Macaca mulatta: one gene and its partners. The protein of the gene in region 2 interacts with the protein of the main gene of each other region in a pairwise test. Links are inferred from orthologs where the notes say so. Each region holds a gene or a part of one and is shown on either strand. Other genes may lie near its edges.

The links. The genes of interacting proteins can lie anywhere in the genome.
Region 1: the proteins of YWHAE (region 2) and GAPDH interact in a two-hybrid assay, tested with the Homo sapiens proteins (2 studies listed by BioGRID and IntAct, with this or other methods). The link is inferred for Macaca mulatta from reciprocal best matches to the Homo sapiens genes YWHAE and GAPDH.
Region 3: the proteins of YWHAE (region 2) and KIF1C interact in binary tests that used the Homo sapiens proteins (3 or more experiments, as listed by UniProt). The link is inferred for Macaca mulatta from reciprocal best matches to the Homo sapiens genes YWHAE and KIF1C.

Annotation. Positions count from the first base shown.
Region 1 is NC_133416.1:7,482,858-7,490,188, reverse strand, and holds GAPDH (glyceraldehyde-3-phosphate dehydrogenase), read right to left. Parts: upstream 4,389-7,331; 5' UTR 4,346-4,388; exon of another isoform or gene 4,254-4,345; intron 4,077-4,253; 5' UTR 4,060-4,076; coding exon 4,031-4,059; intron 2,356-4,030; coding exon 2,256-2,355; exon of another isoform or gene 2,233-2,255; intron 2,175-2,232; coding exon 2,068-2,174; intron 1,946-2,067; coding exon 1,855-1,945; intron 1,765-1,854; coding exon 1,649-1,764; intron 1,562-1,648; coding exon 1,480-1,561; intron 1,276-1,479; coding exon 863-1,275; intron 756-862; coding exon 686-755; 3' UTR 648-685; downstream 1-647. UniProt on the Homo sapiens protein: Has both glyceraldehyde-3-phosphate dehydrogenase and nitrosylase activities, thereby playing a role in glycolysis and nuclear functions, respectively.
Region 2 is NC_133421.1:2,900,397-2,907,011, forward strand, and holds part of YWHAE (14-3-3 protein epsilon), read right to left. Parts: intron 3,295-6,615; coding exon 3,188-3,294; intron 2,468-3,187; coding exon 2,261-2,467; intron 1-2,260. UniProt on the Homo sapiens protein: Adapter protein implicated in the regulation of a large spectrum of both general and specialized signaling pathways. Binds to a large number of partners, usually by recognition of a phosphoserine or phosphothreonine motif.
Region 3 is NC_133421.1:6,548,024-6,555,431, reverse strand, and holds the start of KIF1C (kinesin-like protein KIF1C), read right to left. Parts: upstream 4,389-7,408; 5' UTR 4,164-4,388; intron 2,471-4,163; 5' UTR 2,350-2,470; intron 2,099-2,349; 5' UTR 2,072-2,098; coding exon 1,966-2,071; intron 1,546-1,965; coding exon 1,469-1,545; intron 1,098-1,468; coding exon 918-1,097; intron 260-917; coding exon 194-259; intron 1-193. UniProt on the Homo sapiens protein: Motor required for the retrograde transport of Golgi vesicles to the endoplasmic reticulum. Has a microtubule plus end-directed motility.

The DNA of each region.
Region 1 (7,331 bases), on a different chromosome or scaffold from region 2:
TGTTTACCTAGATGAATCCTCCTGAAGACCTTAGGGGCTGGCCACAATGACGTCCTCAGCTAAGACAGGCGGGCACAGAAAGCAAGAGTCCTTGCTCAAGACCTCACAGCTGTGGAGGCCAAGCTGGAATTACCCGCTGCAGCTCATCTCCAGGCTGCGGTCTACTAACCAGTCACCAGCCCAGTGTGAACCCCGACTTCCTCCACCAGTCACCCTCCCTGGGGCTGCCCATAGAACAGCTTCTTCCATGTTTGGCCAGCAGCAGATAGCCTAGGACTGAAGCAAGCCTTGTTCTCTGAAGTAGTGGTGCTAGCTTTCCGTAGCACTCAGTCTGAGCAGGAAGCAAATGGCAAGCAAGGCGGTTGGGAGGCCCTACCCTCAATCTGAGGGGAACATACCAGGTCCCTCCCAGCAAGAATGTCTCACCTTGACACAGCCCAGCTTCCCTTCCCTCCGCCCTACACCCTAGGATAAGACAGGACAAAGAACTGGCTGAGCACAGGGGATTTTATTGATGGTACACGACAAGGTGGGGCTCCCTAGGCCCCTCCCCTCTTCAAGGGGTCTACATGGAAACTGAGGGGAGATTCAGTGTGGCGGGGGACTGAGTGTGGCAGGGACTCCCCAGCAGTGAGGGCCTCTCTCTCCCTCTTGTGCTCTCGCTGGGGCTGGTGGTCCGGGGGTCTTACTCCTTGGAGGCCATGTGGGCCATGAGGTCCACCACCCTGTTGCTGTAGCCAAATTCGTTGTCATACCTAGAAGATGAAAAGAGTCGTTAGGGCCCTTTTTCTGAGCCAGTCACCAGAGGGCGCCAGACTCTGCACCACTTTTTAAGAGCCTGTCTCTGGCCCCAGCCACATACCAGGAAATGAGCTTGACAAAGTGGTCGTTGAGGGCAATGCCAGCCCCAGCGTCGAAGGTGGAAGAGTGGGTGTCGCTGTTGAAGTCGGAGGAGACCACCTGGTGCTCAGTGTAGCCCAGGATGCCCTTGAGGGGGCCCTCCGACGCCTGCTTCACTACCTTCTTGATGTCATCGTACTTGGCAGGTTTTTCCAGACGGCAGGTCAGGTCCACCACTGACACGTTGGCAGTGGGGACACGGAAGGCCATGCCAGTGAGCTTCCCGTTCAGCTCAGGGATGACCTTGCCCACAGCCTTGGCAGCGCCAGTAGAGGCAGGGATGATGTTCTGGAGAGCTCCGCGGCCATCACGCCACAGTTTCCCGGAGGGGCCATCCACAGTCTTCTGGGTGGCAGTGATGGCGTGGACTGTGGTCTGGAAAAGGAGGGAGTGAGGCCCTGCAGAGTGCTCCCCACATCACCACCCCTCTACCTCCCTCCCCACCTTGAAAGGAAATTATGGGAGAGCCAGTCCCCAGAAGGCCCAGCCCCCAGGGTTGCATGCAGGCCTGGCCGGGAGGAGGAGCCAGCCCTGCATGAGAAAGGCAGCAGCCTCAGTCCCATTCCCCAGCTCTCATACCATGAGTCCTTCCACGATACCAAAGTTGTCATGGATGACCTTGGCCAAGGGTGCTAAGCAGTTGGTGGTGCAGGAGGCGTTGCTGCAAACAAAGAGGGGGCGCAAGTCAGGGGAGCGTGTCCACAGGGTGCCAGGCTGGCCGCTTCTCCACTGGCCCTGCCTTCCTCACCTGACGATCTTGAGGCTGTTGTCATACTTCTCATGGTTCACACCCATGACGAACATGGGGGCGTCAGCAGAGGGGGCAGAGATGATGACCCTTTTGGCTCCCCCCTGCAAATGAGCCTACAGCAGAGAAGTAGACAGTTATAAACCCGGGTTCTGCCTCTGCAGGGCTGAGCCAGCTTCCCCTACCGCGGGCCCTCCTGCACTCACCCCAGCCTTCTCCGTGGTGGTGAAGACGCCAGTGGACTCCACGACGTACTCAGCGCCAGCATCGCCCCACTTGATTTTGGAGGGATCTCGCCTATGGGGTGGGGGAGACAGGGATAGGACATATTGAGGGACACGAGGTTACCATGTACCCAAGGGAGCCGCACCACCCTAGCTGCCCCCCACAGCACATTTCTCCCACTGCCTTCCACTCACTCCTGGAAGATGGTGATGGGGCTTCCATTGATGACGAGCTTCCCGTTCTCAGCCTTCACGGTGCCATGGAACTTGCCATGGGTGGAATCATACTGGAACATGTAAACCTGGGGGAATACGCAAGGGTGTGAAGGGGCTGCCTGGCAGCCAGGTGGCTCCTCCCACATCAGCTTTGGGGCAGCACTCACCATGTAGTTGAGGTCAATGAAGGGGTCATTGATGGCAACAATATCCACTTTACCAGAGTTAAAAGCAGCCCTGGTGACCAGGCGCCCAATACGACCAAATCTAAGAGACAAGAGGCAAGAAGGCATGAGGAGGGGAGGCTTCTCCACAGTATGTGAGCTGCCCTAGGACACCTCTCCATTAAGAGGGCGAATGCAGCATCTCCTTACCCCCAACATCTCCTTACCTCCATTAAGAGGTGAATTGTATCTCCCTTGAGCTCCCCTGCCAGGCTGGCCTGGCTTTACGGCATGGCTGCAACTGAAGGCTCCACTGCTGCCTAACACCCCCCGTCATAGGAAGCCCTTCCAGGAGAAGCGGCCATGTGGGGCACTGCCACCCACAGTCTGGGCACAAGCTTTGCACGTGGCATTCAGCACCTCACTATGCCACCCCAGGAATGCTTGCTGCTGCCTAGCTCAGCCTCAAACTGCACCGTTTAAGGAGAAAAGATTTGTACACTCAGCATCACCAAACTCAAAGGGCAGGAATAAAGGTCAGAAATTAATTGGACAGGGCAAGCCCACCCCTTCTCTAAGACCCGCCTACAAAAGGGACAGAGATTGGGCCGGGGGAAGAGGGGAAGTTGTTTTTTAACCCCCTAGTCCCAGGGCTTTAATTTGCAAGCTTCTAGTCCTTTCCTAGCTCTTTTCCAGAATTCAGGAGTGGGAGCACAGGTGTGTGCATGTGTGTGGGAGAAGGGATGGGAGACGGCCCAAGCCCAGGCCCCCAGTTACAGAAAGGTCAGCAGCTATATTTATCCTCAGACCAGGGTGCGGTGGGAGATCTGGTTTCTGGAAGACGGAATGGGGAGAAGGGCAGGTTTCCCGAGGCTCCCAGACACCCAATCCTCCGGGTGACATTTACAGCCTGGCCTTTGGGGTGGGGTCAACGCTAGGCTGGCAGGGGAAGAGGGGGGCCATAAGGTGAGCCGCCGCTGCAGAAAGGGGCCACCGCCAGAGGGGCCATTTTGCGGTGGAAATGTCCTTTTCCAACTACCGATGACTCAGCTCCCCCCGGCTTGGCACCAAGCCACAGCCACCACACCTCTGGAGGGAGGGGACACAGGAGGACCTCCATAAACCCACTTCTTTGATTTACCAGAGAATTATCTAGAAAAAGCATCACCCGGAGGGGAAATAGGGCTTGCAGCTCAGGGGCCGACTTGAGAGCAGGGGCCGGGAAGCCTCGCTCCACCTGACTTCCCCGCCACACGCGACTCCACCCACCGAGGCAGGAGCGCAGGGTTAGTCACCGGCAGGGTTTCCTAACGGCGGCCCATTCATTTCCTTCCCGGTTGCAACATGGCGGCCGCTCTACCGCAGGCGCAGCCTCCGGACTGGGATGCACCCGCTGCGCACTAGCATCCCGGGGCCTGCGGTGCCGGAGGCCATGGGGGAGGGGCTCCTCTGCGACACGTGACCTCGCAGAGCGCGAAAGGAAAGAAAGCGTCCCCAGCTAGGGGTCCGGGTCGGATGGAATCTCGGGCGGGAGTAGGGACCTCCTGTTCCTGGGGACTAGGGAAGGCAGGCCCCGGGCAGATGGCGCCGCAAGGGCGGAGCTGCACAGGGCGCCACAGCCTGGGTGCGGGGCTCCGCCAGGTCCGAGCGCTGACCTTGAGCTCTCCTTGCCGGACGCAGCTACCCTACCCCATACGACAGCAAAGACCCGGAGCCCGCAAGGCTCGTAGACGCAGTTTGCGGGCGGCCCAGGGCCCCCCAGCCACCCACGAACTCACCCGTTGACTCCGACCTTCACCTTCCCCATGGTGTCTCAGGGATGCGCTGCGCGGAGAGAGAGAACAGTGAGCGCCTAGTGGTCCCGGTCGACACCCACGCCTCCCCTCCCCTCCCCTCCCCCCACCAGCCTCCATGCCCAGCCCGCGCCGCATCACGTCCTCCGCCCGCCCCTGCAATGCGGAGGCAGCCCGGGCCCGGACCCGGACCCTGGCCCGCGCCCACCCCGCAGCGGCGCGAACACGTCCGGCCCACGCCCGCTCCTGCCGCCTTCAGGCCCGTCCCTAGCCTCCGGGCTCCTCTCCGCCCGTCTTCACCTGGCGATGCAAGAGAAAATGCGGCTGACTCTCGAACAGGAGGAGCAGAGAGCGCAGGGGGAGGCTGCGGGCTCAATTTATAGAAACCCGGGGGCGCGGCGGCAGGCGGTGACTCTGACCCCGCCTCCCGCCGGGCTCAGCCAGTCCCAGTCCAAGGACTTGAGGCCTGAGCTACGTGCGCCCGTAAAACCGCGAGTAGCGGGGCCCTGCTTTCTCCCTGCTCTTTTTTTTTTTCCGCAGCCGCCTAGTTCAACTGGGCACGCATCAAGCGTGTGGGCCCCGACGGAGGGGGGAAGGGACTGAGACTGGCCCGATGGGAGGTGATCGGTGCTGCTTCCCAGGACTGGAGTGTGGGCAGCAGGAGACTAGGGAGTCAAGGACGGGGGCCCTTACACGCACGGATGAAACAGGACTTTGGGAGCGACTGAGATGGGGAATTGGAGCCCGAGCCCTGCACGGCTCGCGGCTGCACGCGGCCTGCCCCCTCCCCTTTCTTTCAAAGGCTGAGAGGCGGGAAAGTTGGGGAACTTCTCCTCGAGGCTCTGCGGTAGTGACACCGGAATAGCTGAAGCAAAGGGCTAGGAGGGGCCCGTGGGCCCTTCCCAGCCCCCACTTCCCCCTCCCCATCTCCTGGCTCCTGGCCTCTCTGGGACCGAGGCCTGGCCTGGGCACTGGGCAGTGGGGGCCTGGAGAGGAAGGAGGCTCGGGAGGCGGCTTGAGGGGGAGGTTTCTACACGGAAGGTCACGATGTCCTGCAGCCCTGTAGCTTGGACCTGATGATTAGGGCAGACAATCCAGGCCCTGTGTGCACCAGCGGCTCTCCCCGGGCTGGGGCCCCAGGCGGAGGACAGGATGGCTGGTGGGGGCCCAGAGGCCTCCCACAAAGTCACTCCTGGAGCCCCGTGGGCTGTGCTGCCTAGGGTGAGAGACAGTGTGCTTTTCACTCCATCCAGCCCGGGGCGAAGAGCGGGACGTGAGGGCGGAAGTGCCTCCCCGCCCTGGGACGTGCAGGCGAGCCAGGAGCCAGGGACTCCCCTTCACTGGCTTCGCTGGGGGATATTGAGGGCAGGGTGAGTCAAGAAGAGGGAAAAAGTGGGAAAAGAGGTCTTGGGCACATGGTGGGAACAGGCCCCCTGCCCCTTCCCACAGGGTATCCATTTCTCTGGTAGGAGGGCAGAGGGCCAGGTTTGTGAGTGTGGGATGGGAGCGTGCTGAACACTTGTAAGGAAGGGGGTGGGGTGGGGTGGCCTTGGCCCATCAGCAGGTGCATGGGAGGGGGATCCTGGGCCTCTTTGCTGGCCCAGCATAACCTGACACCAGCCCCCTGCCCTTCTAGCTAAAAGCCGTTTGCTAAGTTTAGCCCGCCTGGTGATAATCTTTGCTTAAAAGGCACCCACAGGACTCCAGTCCTTGTCCCTGTCTTTCTGGGATTGCCTTTCCTCCTGGGACCCAGAACCAGGCTGTGTCCTCGTCTGGCTGCCATTGGCATGGTTGGTGCGGGCTTTTCACAATGACCACCCAGAGCAGAGTAGCAAGAGCAAGGCAAGAGGGTCCTTAATGGTGGAAGGGTGGGGTGGGGGAGTGGAGGAAGCCCCACCTCTGACTCAGCTATTCCTGCAACCAGGACCATTAACCCTTTCCCATCCAGAGCGTTAAGAGCACCTCCATGCTCCTGCACCACCAAGCGTGATTTGGGGGCGCCATCTTCCCCTCTGCCTCATGCTTGTCATTTTTCATTACTGTCTTCTCCCCGCTAAGAGGGAGCTCGGTGCCCAGGGAGCACTAGTGACGTAGTGTGCTGTTGTCATGACAGCAGAGGCACCAGTGTGGTCACGACAGCCAGCTCACAGCCTCCGGTTCTAAGGTGACTCAGCAGAGACGACTTGAGGAGCTGGAGAGGGGTGGGCAGGCTTCAGGGGCAGCCCGCTTGCAGCATAGCCTGCGCCCCCTGCAGACCTGGGACCAGTGAGGAATGCGGGAGACAGACCTTGTCTCCTGCAGAGCTGGAGGGGATCATGACCTGACCTGCCACCAGCCTGGCCCAGTCCGCTGCCAGCCTTTGGAGATGGGATTAGGGAACACGAGTGGGGGTGGGGTGAGGCACACAAAGGAAAGCAACCCTTGGTCTAGAGCAGGTTTTCTCAACTGCGACACTATTGACATTTTGGGCTGTGTAATTCTTTGTTGAGGGGCTGCCCTGTGCACTGTAGGCTGTTTAGCAACATCCCTGGCCTCTGCCCACCAATGCTGGTAGCATTCTTCCCCCACAGGCTATGACAACAGAAAAGGCCCCAGGTGTTGTCAAATGTCCTCTGGCAGGCAAAATTGCCCCCGTTCAGAAGCGCTGATCTGGAGTCGAGGCACTGCATAATTCTCCCGAGGCTGGCTGGTCACTGTGCAGGGTCCGGAGGTTGAGAGGGGAAAGGTGGCAGTGACAGGGCAGGAAGCTCATCTGCCATCCTGGGACAGGCCCTAGTTCTCTGGGCTCGCTCATCTCTCTCTGCACTGATAACCCTCTCTCTGCTGCATGAATCTGGGCTAATGTGAAAGATGAAACAAAGACAAGCTTAGGAAAAAATGTCTAAAAGTATATAAAAACATTTATTCATTAGAAAACAAGGAGATTGGCAAACATATTCCAAAGTGAAAGCAGCTCAATGCAGTTCAATTAGGCTAATTTAAGAGAAAGGCCTTGCATTTTAAAGATCGTGTATGTACTTTTTTTTTGAGACGGAGTTTCACTCTTGTTGCCCAGGCTGGAGTGCAGTAGGGTGATCTCGGCTCACTGCAACCTCTGCCTCCCAGGTTCAAGCGATTCTCCTGCCTCACCCTCCCGAGTTGCTGGGATTACAGGTGTGCGCCATCACGCCTGGCTAATTTTTAATTTTTAGTAGAGACAGGGTTTCTCCATGTTGGTCAGGCTCGAACTCCAGACCTCAGGTGATTCACCCGCCTCGGTGTCCCAAAGTGCTGGGATTACAGGCGT
Region 2 (6,615 bases):
CAGTCCCAATTCCACCTCAAGGTGAAGTTAAATACAAGGACTGAAGCAAATACTTAATGCATCCATGTTCACAGCAGCACTGTACTCACCACAGAAAAAGGGTGGAAAGATACCCACTGACCACTCAAAGTTTAATGACTAAACAATGTGTCAAAACACGTAAAATGAATTGTGTGAATTCAGTCACGGAAAGGACTGAAGCTCTGATTGATGCTTTTACATGGATAAAAACGTGATGCTAGATGAAATAAAAACAGCCACAAAAGGACAAATATTATATAATCCCACTTACATGAGGTATCTAGAATGGGCGCAAAATTCATAATGACAAAGTAAAATAAAAGTTACTAGCAGGTGGGCAGAGGGGAAATGAAGTTATTGTTTGTTTAATGGCTGTAATTTGCTTTGTGTGGGGTGAAGAGAAAGTTTTCAAATAAATAGTGGTGATTACACAACACTGTCAAGGTATTTGGTGCCACTAAATTGTGTGTGTGTGTGTGCGCGCGTGTGTATTTTTTGAAACAAAGTCTTGCTTTGTCACCCAGGCTAGAGTGTACTGGTGTAATCAAGGCTCACTGCAACCTCTGCCTTCTGGGTTCAAACGATTCTCCTGTCTCAGCCTCCCGAATAGCTGGGATTACAGGCATGCACCACCATACCCGGCTAATTTTGTATTCTTAGTTGAGACAGAGTTTTGCCATATTGGTCAGATTGGTTTCGAACTCCTGATCTCAGGTGATCCACCCGCCTCAGCCTCCCAAAGTGCTGGGATTACAGGTGTGAGCCACCGCGCCGAGGCTATCACAACTTTTTAAAAGTAAAAAGCTATGTACATACAAATATTCCTTACATTTGTATCTACATTATCAAAACCTGGGAACAAGCTGAAGTATAAATGGGGGAACAGTGTAACACACATTAGTAAGACTGAAACTTGTTTATGCTAAAACAGAAAATATAAAATTATGTTTTCGACGAGAGTAACTATTAAAAACATGCCCATAAAGACAGAAAACTGGCTGGGTGTGGTGGCTCACGCTTGTACTTTCAACACTTTGGGAGGCCAAGGCAGGCGGATCACTTGAGGTCAGGAGTTCCAGACCAGCCTAGCCAACACGGTGAAACCCTGTCTCTACTAAAAACACAAAAAAAGTTAGATGGGCATGTTGGCAGGCCCCTGTAACTCCAGTAACTCAGGAGGCTGAGGCAGAAGAATCACTTGAACCCAGGAGGTGGAGGTTGCAGTGATCTGAGATGGCGTCACTGCACTCTAGCCTGGAAGACAAAGTGAGACATCGTCTCAAATTTTAAAAAAAGACTGAAAACTAATATATAAAATTAAAATAATTCTATCTTATAATTCCTCTCATTTCCTTCCTCTACTCATTTTTGTTTTTTTTTTTGAGACAGAGTCTCGCTCTGTCACCCAGACTGGGGTGCAGTGGCCGGATCTCAGCTCACTGCAAGCTCCACCTCCTGGGTTTACGCCATTCTCCTGCCTCAGCCTCCCCAGTAGCTGGGACTACAGGCACCTGCCACCTCGCCCGGCTAAGTTTTTGTATTTTTAGTAGAGAGGGGGTTTCACTGTGTTAGCCAGGATGGTCTCGATCTCCTGACCTCGTGATCCGCCCATCTCGGCCTCCCAAAGTGCTGGGATTACAGGCTTGAGCCACCGCGCCTGGCCCTTCCTCTACTCATTTTAACACGTTAGATTTCAATCTACCAAAATATCCCACATAAAAATACTTACCCTGACTGCTACGCTAGTGGGTTGAGATAGGTCTGTTTTAATACTATCCAAAGTAGTTTCAGTAAGAGTCAAAAGAATCAATACGCAGCCAAGTCTACAAAGGCAGGCCCAAGAAACAATACGGAAAATCCAAATAGCTACCCCTTAACTTTCTTTCTTTTTTTTTTTTTTTTTTTTTTTTGAGACGGAGTCTCGCTCTGTCACCCAGGCTGGAGTGCAGTGGCGCGATCTCGGCTCACTGCAAGCTCCGCCTCCCGGGTTTACGCCATTCTCCTGCCTCAGCCTCCCGAGTAGCTGGGACTACAGGCGCCCGCCACCTCGCCCGGCTAGTTTTTTGTATTTTTTAGTAGAGACAGGGTTTCACCGTGTTAGCCAGGATGGTCTCGATCTCCTGACCTCGTGATCCGCCCGTCTCGGCCTCCCAAAGTGCTGGGATTACAGGCTTGAGCCACCACGCCCGGCTACCCCTTAACTTTCAAGCTGAGAGCTTTTTTCTTCCCCACAACTTACCTGCAGGCACGGTCAGGGGAATTAAGAATTTCGTAGTAGAATACGGAAAAATTGAGAGCAAGACCTAAGCGAATAGGATGCGTTGGTGGAAGTTCTGTCATTGCAATATCACTAGCAGCTTTATAAGCCACTAGGCTGTTCTCCGCAGCCTCCTTCCTGTCATTTCCTGTGGCAAATTCTGCCAGATACCTGTGGTAGTCCCCTTTCCTAAAACAAAACCAAAATTAAAAAAAAAAAAATTTTAAACCAGGAATGACGATTTTTAAAGGAAAATAAGCTAAAATTGTTCTATATTATATAAAATATGCGACAAAAATATATGTAACAATTAGCAGGTATACTTCAATAATTTTAAATACCCTCAGGAATAATTGGCTTCCTTTTGTGTTTTTCCTTAGACATTTCATATTACTAAATATAAGCAAAAATCCCAAGGAAATTAACTGAGGAGCCTCTAAAAATTAACAAAATTATCACCTAATAAACCAGAATTAAGCAAGTGGTTCCAAGGAATGGCATGACTGTTTATTAAAAATAAAATAAAATTTCTATATAAAACACTAAGCACTGTGAAATGTATGCCGCTTGGGGGAAGGGAATGGGATAGGTCTCACAAAAACAAAGAATATAAAATAAGCAAAAGCTGGGAACAATCTGAAGTATAAATGGGAGAACAGTTTAACACACATTAGTAAGACTGAAACTTGTTTATGCTAAAACAGAAAATATAAAATTATGTTTTCTACGAGTAACTATTAAAAATTTTACATTTTTATAATAGTCCATCTTTTTATTCCAATATTAACTATCCTTCTAACATTGAACAATTATTCTTAAATAAAAGTTGAAAACCCACATAGAAAAAAGTTGTAATTCTAAAAGGACCAACTTTCAATCTTACATTTTCCCTTCTAGTATAGAACCTACATTTTATAATAGAAAACCTTGGACTCGCCAGTGTTAGCTGCTGGAATGAGGTGTTTGTCCAGTACATCCAGAATGTCACAACAGATTAACTTTAGCTCAGTCTCAACCTGAAAAAATAAAAATAAATTTTTTTAAAAAATCTGATTAAGTCTAGAAATTCTACAAATTATTACACATTCTATCTCTGGTTTTTAGGAGGAGAGCTTAGTATTAAAAAGAATTAATAACCACCTCCCAACTCCCTTCTTCCTTCTTGACACAAAAGCAGAGAAAAGCTGCCTCTAGGTTATAAAAAGCATCTTTTCCTTTCTGCATGCTATTGTTACATACACACATGCAGGCGCACATACGCCAGCCCCCACACTCCCTTCTCAGTCCAGTTACAGAATTACCAATGACTAAAACACTGATGCTTCTTGATAAATGCTGGTCAATTACATGAATTAACTTCTTCCACAAGGTAGCAATGTAAACACATTGTTCTAAGATCAACTTAAAAGAATTTAATAAGCAGAGCTAGGATTTGAACTCAGGCCAGTTGCAAGGGACAAAATCAAAATTTAAACCCAGGCAGTTTGCCTTCAGCACTCACATTCCTAACAGTCACCAGGCAATTCCTTAAATGGCAGAGATCTGTAACTAGTTAAGACACCAAAAACCTATCTACCAAAGTAGCTATTGCCACCATCTCTATCCACTGATAATGCTGAACGCGTACACCACCTCTGGACGCACATCCCCAGCTTGCTTCCTATTTGCTATTAACTCATGCACTATTGCTGAACCTTTCGTTCCTCTCCATGCCCCCGGAACCTCCGTTTCACTGTAAAACATTCTCTCACTTTTTCTTCTATAATCACATCCTTATCCCAAGCAAAATCATTTTCTGAATAAACCACCGCCCTGACGGCTTTTCCAACAGAGACTGGTCTAGGAAAAGGAAGATTTCTAAGTTCTCCTAGCTCCTTGCACAGTCAATGACTGCTCTCCTATTACTCCAAATCCTTCCTCCTCACAAGCTGATATTCTACATTCTATTTCTCAGCTTCTGTCTTCAGTAGATCTCTACACCCTTCTCCCAGATTCACTCAATGTCTACAGCAAACCCATCCGATACCTGAGATCACACCAAGGTATGGTGTGGCCGTGTTCCATTCGACAAGCTCTTGGCTCTCTACTCCAAGACTTCCACTTGTCCACACCCATGACCGCGCTGCCCTATACTAGCAGTCTGAATTGTAACACTCCACTCTGGGCCCATGGCTTCCTTTTTCAGTTCCTCTTCTCTTGTAATTTCTATTTATGGACTCATCAAGACACCTGGACTCTTTTACTTTTTCCTTCTTTGATTCAGAGTTTCGCACTCATTGCCAAGGCTGGATGGGGTGTAGTGGCTCGATCTTGGCTCACTGCAACCTCCGCCTCCTGGGTTCAAGCAATTCTCCTGTCTCAGCCTCCTGAACAGCTGGGATTACAGGCACGTGCCACCATGCCTGGCTAATTTTTGTATTTTTAGTAGAGACGGGGTTTCACCATGTTGGTCAGGCTGCTCTCGAACTCCTGACCTCAGGTGTGACCCACCCACCTTGGCCTCCCAAAGTGCTGGGGTTACAGGCATGAGCCACCACGCCTCGCCACTTTTTCTTTTTTAATGCATGTATCTCATCTAAGACATCAGACTCTTGAGCTTTTTACGTCTTCTCCCACTTTATCAGTTGCTGTCTTTGATTCCCACTTCCCTTTCCCAGGCAGCCAAAATCCCACAGAAATCCCACAGTGGAGCTCCTGGGCTTGTTTCTTTAGCACTTTCAACTTCCTCACCTCCTCCTTCCACTGGGACACTCAACTTGTCTACTGACCAACCAAATTCTTTGACCCAACATATTTCAGGGTAATGGTTAACACATCAACCCCAGCTTACAATTTTAGAGACAGGGTCTCACTTTTTTGCCCACTACTGGGCTTAAGCGATCCTCCTGCCTCTGTCTTCCCCGAGTGCTGGGGTTACAGCCACGAGACACCACGCCCGGCCCCAGCTCACAACTTTCTAAGTGACCTCAGGTATGTTAAACACTCAAAATCCTGGCTTGTGCATTCATAGGTTGGGATAATGCCTCCCCCTTCCAGTGCTATTTTAAAGATTTCACGTACTACCTTACACAAATACATATAACAGAAATATTTCTCTACTCAGGACAGTGCCCAGTACAGCTGGCGAGTCAGTAACTGTGGTTCCCCCACCTTTCCCTCTCCCAACCAAGCTCACTTTCCACCTGCCCTGTAATTCTCTTCCTTGTTCTCGTTCATGCGTTACGTGCCTGTCTCTTCCACTAAATCAGTTTCTCACCAGCAGCACTACTGGAGTTTGCTGTGGGGCCGTGCTGCGCACAGTAGAATGGTTAGCAGCATCCTGTCTCCACCCCACTAGATGCTAGCAGCACCCCCTAAGTGACAAAAGTATCTCTAGACATTGTCAAATGTCCTCTGAAGGACAAAAGCACCTCTAATTGAAAACTGCTGCATTAGAGTGATGGCTATACAACTTTTTTAACAAGACCTACAATAAGAAACATTTTATATATGCATCTACACACACAGTATGTAAAATAACTTCATTAAATAATCCTTATGCTTACAGTGTTCCACTCTGATATGTTCTATTCTGTTGAAAAAACTAGGCCAGGTGTGGTGCCTCACACCTCTAATCCCAGCACTTTGGGAGGCCTAGACTGGCAGATCACCTGAGGTCAGAAGTTCCAGACCAGTCTGGCGAACATGGTGAAACCCCATCTCTACTAAAAATACAAAAATTTACCAGTTGTGGTGGCAGGCACCGGTAATCCCAGCTACTTAGGAGGCTGAGGCAGGAGAATCACTTGAACACGGGAGGCAGACGTTATAATGAGCTGAGATCACACCACTGCACTCCAGTCTGGGCAACAAGGGCGAAACTTCCTCTTTAAAAAAAGAAAAAAAAAAAGGGCCGGGCACGATGGCTCAAGCCTGTAATCCCAGCACTTTGGGAGGCCGAGACGGGTGGATCACAAGGTCAGGAGATCGAGATCATCCTGGCTAACACGGTGAAACCCTGTCTCTACTAAAAGACACAAAAAACTAGCCGGGCGAGGTGGCGGGCGTCTGTAGTCCCAGCTACTCAGGAGGTTGAGGCAAGAGAATGGCGTGAACCTGGGAGGCGGAGCTTGCAGTGAGCCGAGATCTGGCCACTGCACTCCAGCCTGGGCGACGGAGCGAGACTTCGCCTCAAAAAAAAAAGAAAAAGAAAAAAGGCCAGCCACGGTGGCTCACACCTATAATCCCAGCACTTTGGAAGGCCGAGGCGGGCGGATCACAAGGTCAGGAAATCGAGACCATCCTGGCTAACACGGTGAAACCCCGTGTCTGCTAAAAATACAAAAAATTAACCGGGT
Region 3 (7,408 bases), about 3.6 Mb from region 2:
CAACAAGCCAGGAGGTGCATCTGATCATTAGCATCTCCCAGATGAACATACGAAGCTGAAGGACAGAATCACTGCCCCAAAGTCACAGTTTGTAACCAGCAGAGCCAGGATTAGATCCCAGGCTGTCTGATTTCAGCAATGGCCCTCAGCAGTCTGAACCGCTCTCAGCCCCGCCACCAGGACCCGGGCTTACCTCCACAGAGTAGGATAGCTGAGCACTCTGGTTCTCACTAACGCGAGAGAAGAGGTCCTCACAGAGCTGGAGGGGGACACAGGGAAATACAGAGAAGCTCCTAGTTTAGGGCACACCTAAAGTATCCAGCCACAGGCCAGGCCCAGTCCCAAGTGACCCCATTTAACCCTTGCCGCAGCCCTGAGGGAGGGGTTATTCCCATTTCACAGATGGGAAAACAACCTCAGAGAGGTTCCCACTTGCCCAAGAACACAGGCTAGCGTTCAGCCAGCCAGGGCGCAAACCCCAGGCGTCCTGACTCCCAAGCCTGTGTGCCAGGTTGCTATGCTGGACAGCCAGGGACAATTATGGTTAACTCTGTTATCGCAATTGGCGTTTCTACAGTTAACACTCTGCGATGGTACACAAGCCTGCAGGAGAACCATCCTCATAAATTATTATGAAACTAAGTAAAACAGTAATAAGTGGTAACACTGGCGCTCGAACCCAAGACTCACTGATGCCAAAACCTTGCTCTTCTCAATGAGGCTCGTTGCCTCCAATAGGGACAAAGACCCTCCCACCCCAAAGGGTTGTCCAGCTTGAGTCAACCTCTATCTCCCATCACCAGTGGCCTCAGAGCCAGGTCTCTCTGTTCCACAATCCTCAGACCCCGGTCCTTCCTTCCTCAGGGGGCAGCTAAAGATGTTCCTGCCCTGGCTGCCCCACCAGGTCCTAGGTGTACCTGGGGCACGATGCCCTGCTGCCCTGGCTCCTGCCGCCCCATCATGGTATAGGATTTCCCAGCCCCGGTCTGCCCATAGGCAAAGATGCACACGTTGTAGCCTTCAAAGGCGTGGAGCAGCATCTCTTCTCCAATGTCCCGATACACTTGCTGCTGAGATGCAAACTGGGGGTCCTCCGCCTAGGACAAAGCGGGGGCAGAGAAAAACAGAAGGAACCCTGGATGTCTTTATCTTTTGTGTCTGTCCCAACAGTCTTGCTTCCAGAACTGATGATTCTCCAAAGGTCCTATGTGCCCTCCCACCCTCATCATTGTCCTAATCACCCCGAGGATCCTATCCAGCCCCTGCTAGTCCTAATTACCCCAAGGGATTCTGCCTTCTTGTCATGGCCTCAATCACAGCCTAAGGGTCCTACCACCCCCATCCAGGATCATCCTCCCAATCAGCCTGAATAATCCCCTGGGGGTCCTATTTCTCAACATGTCCCCTCCCCAGGACCTAAATCCACTGTCTCTCACTGCCCTGCTCTTCCCCCAGCCCAACAACCCACCGAAGTGTGTGACCAGTAGGAGTAGTCAAAGGTGAAGCTTTTGGGGGCATCTTTGCTCTGTTTAGGATTGATGATGGCTGAGGAGCAGGAGGGGGTAAAGGAAGGAAAGTCAAGGTCAGGTACTCCCAGCCCCTGCCCATACCCCCACCAGCCCCTGGAATCCAAGCATCCCACTCCTCACCACTGCCCTGACTCATCTCTCCCCTTTAATATTCCCCACCCCCTCCAGCCACCAAAGCTAATTTTGGCTTCCTAGGACCCGCCCCCACTGAGCTGCCTCCCTGGATTGGGCAATGGAGGGCTCCAGGCCAACATTCCCCCTCCCAGAAGACTGGGAACACGGGAAAGGCCAGCCTGCCCCAGCCCCCGCCCTCACGACTAGCACCTGCCCTGTGCCCGGCACAGACCTCCTCTTAGTTTGGCCCAGCGGGACTGGCCTGTGTGGTGGGCCCGGCCTTCCCTGTCTGTGCCCAGCCAGGCCCCGGGGACTCACTCACAGGTGGTGTTGCCCTGCATGCTGACCACACACTTGGCATCCTGGCTGGTCTCACGGGCGTTAAAGGGCCGAACCCTCACTGCTACTTTCACCGAGGCACCAGCCATGGCTTCAGACACTCCTGCCCTCCTCAGCTGGAGGACAGAGAAAGGAGTGGTGGGGTCAGAGCCACTGGGGGGACCCAGACATTGCCTCCCAGCTTCTTCCCAGAACCAGTCTCTTCACATCTCCCCCAGAGCCACCCAGCCTCTCAAGCACCCAGCTCTTATTCCCCTGGCTTTCCTCCCAAATGTCACTGTCTTGAGAGACTCCCAAAGGTATTTCTGCCTCTCTCCCCAGCCATATTCCACCTTGCAGGAACCTGGGCGGTCTCCCCCAGAGTTACCTGGCGTCCTGGCTCCAGACCAGGGGGGCTGTATCAGTTCTCGCTGCCACTGGCCCTCGTAGGGGGAGCCCCATCCTACTACTGGGACCTGGCCACACCAGCTGGGGCTCTGGGAGACACCCTGGTTGTGGGGGAAGAGTTGTTAGGAGGCACCTGTGGCTCGAGACCTGTCTGGGGTTCCCAGGTTGGAGGGCCACGGTTAGGGGGGAATAGTACAAAACGTTATGGACAGCTGCCCCTCTGGAGTGGCAGAATGCAATGTGAATCCAAGGGCAAGGACGGTGATATTTTTATTCCTCATCACTCGCAAGTGTACTGAACGTTCAGATAGAGGAGAGAGAGAGAAAGAGGCTGGACAGAGGGCAATTCAGAGAGGGGCACATGGGCAGAGACGTGAGGGTGGCGGGAAGAGAGAGACGAGGGGTAGAGAGTCACAGACACCAAGAAAATGAGAGAAATAAGACAAAAGGCAAGCCTGAGGTCATGCTATGAAGGAAAGAATGGGAGAGGAAAGGAGAAAGAGACACAGCACAGCAAACACAAGCTGTTAAAGAGGCAGGAACTCCGGGGCCAAAGCACAAACTGGGAGCCCAGAAGAGAGATCAGAAGAAACTGCAAATGCAAAACCTGTCCTGAAATTCCCCACAGGGTCGGCAAGGGAGAATCCAGTTTCCACCTAAGGCCCACAACCTCCACACACCAGGCCGGCAGTGCGGATGGGCAAAGTCCAAGGACTGTAGATAGGGCCCAGGACTGGGATCCACAGGGCCGGCTGTGTGGGCTTTAAGCCCCTTGCCCAGCCCCCAGCACTTCCTCCTCAGGATCCAGGACAATGGGCAGGGGAGGGTGGGGTCATCCTGTAGCCATCAGACCAACCCTCAGGGCTCCACCCTTGGGGTGCCCAGAAATACCTGTGTTTGAGGGTAGAGGGTCCCTGGGGCCTCCCTGAAAGGGAGAAAGAAAAGCAAAAGGAAGCCGGCTGGCCAGTGCCAGCCCCAGCCTGGGGCTAGTGCTATGGCGTCCACTGCCCTGGGGAAGGTGCCAGGCTGGAGCCCAGGAATGTGGGTGATCGGGTGCCCACACCCTGTGAGGAGAGGCTGAGCAGCCCACGCCCACGGACAACAGGGAGGAGAACCACGAAGAGGAATAAGGGATGCTAAGCCCCCTCCTGTGACCCCAGTGGGCCCCAAACTCCTGTCACACTGGGCCTCCCCCTCACCAGCCTTCCTGGGCAGAGCATGGGAGGGTGAGGGGCTGGTCTGTCCCAGGACAGGAAGGGAGTAGCTGGAATCACAGAAGCTGGCTCAGGAAGAACAGCCCTGACCCCCTAGACCCTGACCAGGGGAGGGAAGGACACTGGTGGGGACAAGCCATGGTGACGCCGTTGCTGCAGCTAATGGGACAGGGAATGGGGTGGCATGGCTGGGGGCCAGCAGGGTAAGGGAACAGAGGTAGGGACAGGGGTCAGCCGGTGCAGCTGTTAAGGAGCCGTGGGGTACAAGGAGGATACTGGGCGGCTGGGTGGGGCCGCCCGACCCGAAAGGGAGTCTTGGGCCACCTGCACCTTGCCCACCCGGCAGTTCTCACACATGTCCCCGCCCGGCCTCTCTGGGCGGCCATGCGGACCGGTCCTCCTGTCTAGCCCTAAGCCGGCGGCCGCCCGGGCCTGGCACCTCTCTGCGCCTCCGCGGAACAAACAGCACATGATCCCGGCTCTCGAGCCTAGATCGCGCCGCCGGACCCCGGCTCCCCGCCCCCCAACCCGGCACATTCCTCCGCGGGCGTCCCTTCCCTCCCCCTTGCCCAGCCCTCACCTCGGCGCGGCGGGGCTCCCGGAGTGGCTCGGCGGAGAAGGACAAGCTTTCCGGGAAGCGTGAGGCGGCGGCGGGAAGGATCGGGGGCCGGTTCGGAGCTGCCCCCGCCCCTCGCCGGGTCCCCGGGCGGCGGGCGGCGGACTCGCGCCCCGGGGGCGGCAGCAGTAGCGGCGCCAGCGGCCGGCGCCCGCCCGGGCAGCGCGAGCTGGGGCGGGAGCGAGGGGCGGGGGACGCGCGGGCGCGCGCGGAGAGGCGGGCGCGCGCCGTCCTGGGAAGGAGCCGGGAGCGACCCGGGTTACTCTTGTTAAAGGGGCAACGCTCCCGGCCTGTGGGGCCCAGCGTGCAGGGACGCGGGGACCGAGCTGCGGACGCAGAAGGGCGAGCAGACGCCGCAACCCAGGAGGGTTGCAGACGCCTGAGGAGCAGGGAAACGTCGGGGGCTGACCCGCGGGGGCACCCAGGCCCCGGCCCAGCTCATGTCGCCGCCGTTGGAGGCGCGTCCAGGGGGCGGAGCCTCCTACCGAGGCCCGCCCAGAAGGCGGCTCCGCTCAGGCCCCGCCCCCAGGCGAGCACCGCCCGCCGGCTCCTCCCGCGGCTCGAATCGCCGTCTCTCTCCTCCCCGCCCCGCCGAGTTCTAGAATTCGCCGCGCAGCTGCTTCAGGTGCTGGGGCCAAGTGCGGCCGGCCGTGGCGCGGCTACTCGGGTGCTCTATCCCCGCCTGGCCCTCAAGTTCGGCCGCCCCGGACGCCGCCTCAGGCCCAAACAACCCCTTCAGGCCCGGGTGCCGCCTAAGGCCGGGGCTGCCCCCTCAGACGCGGGGCTCCCCTCAGGCCCCAGCCTGCCGCTCAGCCTGGGACCACCACCCCAGGGCCCCTCTCGGGGCTGGGCTGCCCGGAAGGTCCGGCCACGCCCGGTCCACCTGTCGAGGGTCCCGGTCGCCCTTTCAGGCGCCCGCCGCGCTCTCCGGCCCGGCGCTTCCCTCCAGCGGGGCTCCAGGCTCCAGGCAGCCCCTCAGCCCCAGCCTGACTCTCGGGTCCTCATCCACCCTTGCAGGCCCGGGCTGTGGCTACCCCGAAGTCAACTGTGGAGGATCCTTCCTGGCTTCCTTCAGCTCCATCCTGCCCTTGGATCTAGGTCACCCGCTTGGGCGCCACTTATCTGAGGCCGGAATGCCCCGCAGCTCCCGCTGACCCCCCCGCCCCCCGCGTTCTGCTGACCCCCCTCCGAGTCAGGACATCCCCTTTAGACCCCACTTTAGGCCCTTTCAGCTCAACTCCAACCTTTGACCTCCCTCCGCCTTTGACCTCACCTGCTTTCTCAGCCCATCCCTACTTCCCTTGGATAAATGCTAGTTCACCCCTACGTTCTAGCTTGCTGCTTCTGTCCTTCAGGAGCCTACAGGCACTGTCTCCTAACTTATCTAGTTTTTGTTTTGTTTTGTTTTGTTTTTTTGAGACGGATTCTTGCTTTGTTGCCCAGGCTGGAGTTCAGTGGCGCGACCTCGGCTCATGGCAACCTCCGCCTCCTGGGTTCAAGCAATTATCCTGACTCAGCCTTCTGAATAGCTGGGATTACAGGTGCACACCACCACACCCGGCTAATTTTTATAATTTTAGTAGAGACAGGGTTTCACTGTGTTGGTCAGGCTGGTCTCAAACTCCTGACCTCAAGTGATCCGCCCACCTTGGCCTCCCAAAGTACTGGGATTACAGTCTTGAGCCACCGCGCCTGGCTTTTTTTTTTTTTCCTTCTTCTTCTTAGAGACAGGGTTTCACTCTGACGCCCAGGCTGGAGTGCAGTGGTGCGATCTCACCTCACTGCAGCCTTGACCTCCCGGGGCTCAGATGATACTCCCACCTCAGCCTCCCAGATACAAGCGCACACCACCACACTTGCCTAAATTTTTTTGTATTTTTGTAGAGAGGGGGTTTTGCCATGTTACCCAGGCTGTTCTCAAACTCCTGGGCTCAAGTGATCCACCCACTTCCACCTCCCAAATCGCTGGGATTACAGGCGTGAGCCACCGTCCCCAGCCTTAACTGCCCTTTCTCCCCACCCCAACTGGCCTTCAGGTCATCTTTGGCTGTCCCTCATTTTAGCTATATGCAACTGACCTCCCTGCTTACCTTCCTATCCACAGGCATTCCCAACTGCCCCCTCCTTCCCTGTCACCAGTTGACCATTATGTCCACACCTAACTTTTAAAAATTTATTTACTTTTTTTTTTTTTTTTTTTTTTTGAGACGGAGTCTTGCTCTGCCGCCCGGGCTGGAGTGCAGTGGCCGGATCTCAGCTCAGTGCAAGCTCCGCCTCCTGGGTTCACGCCATTCTCCTGCCTCAGCCTCCCGAGTAGCTGGGACTACAGGTGCCCGCCACCTCGCCCGGCTAGTTTTTTGTGTTTTTTAGTAGAGACGGGGTTTCACCGTGTTAGCCAGGATGGTCTCGATCTCCTGAGCTCGTGATCCGCCCGTCTCGGCCTCCCAAAGTGCTGGGATTACAGGCTTGAGCCACCGCGCCCGGCCTAAAAATTTATTTACTTTTGAGACAGAGTTTCACTCTTGTTGCCCAGGCTGGAGTGTAATGGCATGATCTCTACTCACCACAACCTCTGCCTCCCCGATTCAAGCGATTCTCCTGCCTCAGCCTCCTGAGTAGCTGGAATTACAGACACCCACCACCACCCAGCTAATTTTTGTATTTTTTAGTAGAGAGAGGGTTTCTCCATGTTGGTCAGACTGGTCTCGAACTCCCAACCTCAGGTGATCCACCCGCCTCGGCCTCCCAGAGTGCTGGGATTACAGGCATGAGCCACCACACCCGGCCAACTTTTTTTTTTTTTTTTTTTTTTTTTTTTTTTTTTTTTTGAGACGGAGTCTCGCTCTGTCGCCCATTCTGGAGTGCAGTGGCGTGATCTCGGCTCACTGCAAGCTCCACCTCCCGGGTTCATGCCATTCTCCTGCCTCAGCCTCCAGAGTAGCTGGGACTACAGGCGCCCGCCACCGCGCCCGGCAAATGTTTTGTATTTTGTAGTAGAGACGGGGTTTCACCGTGTTAGCCAGGATGGTCTCGATCTCCTGACCTCGTGATCCACCCGCCTCGGCCTCCCAAAGTGCTGGGATTACAGGCGTGAGCCACGGCGCCCGGCCTCACACACTTAACTTTCACTAACCACTCATAGTTGATTCATTGAGAACCCTCAATTCTGTCACTTCTCTTACCCCCAAATGCCTCCGCCCCATCCAATC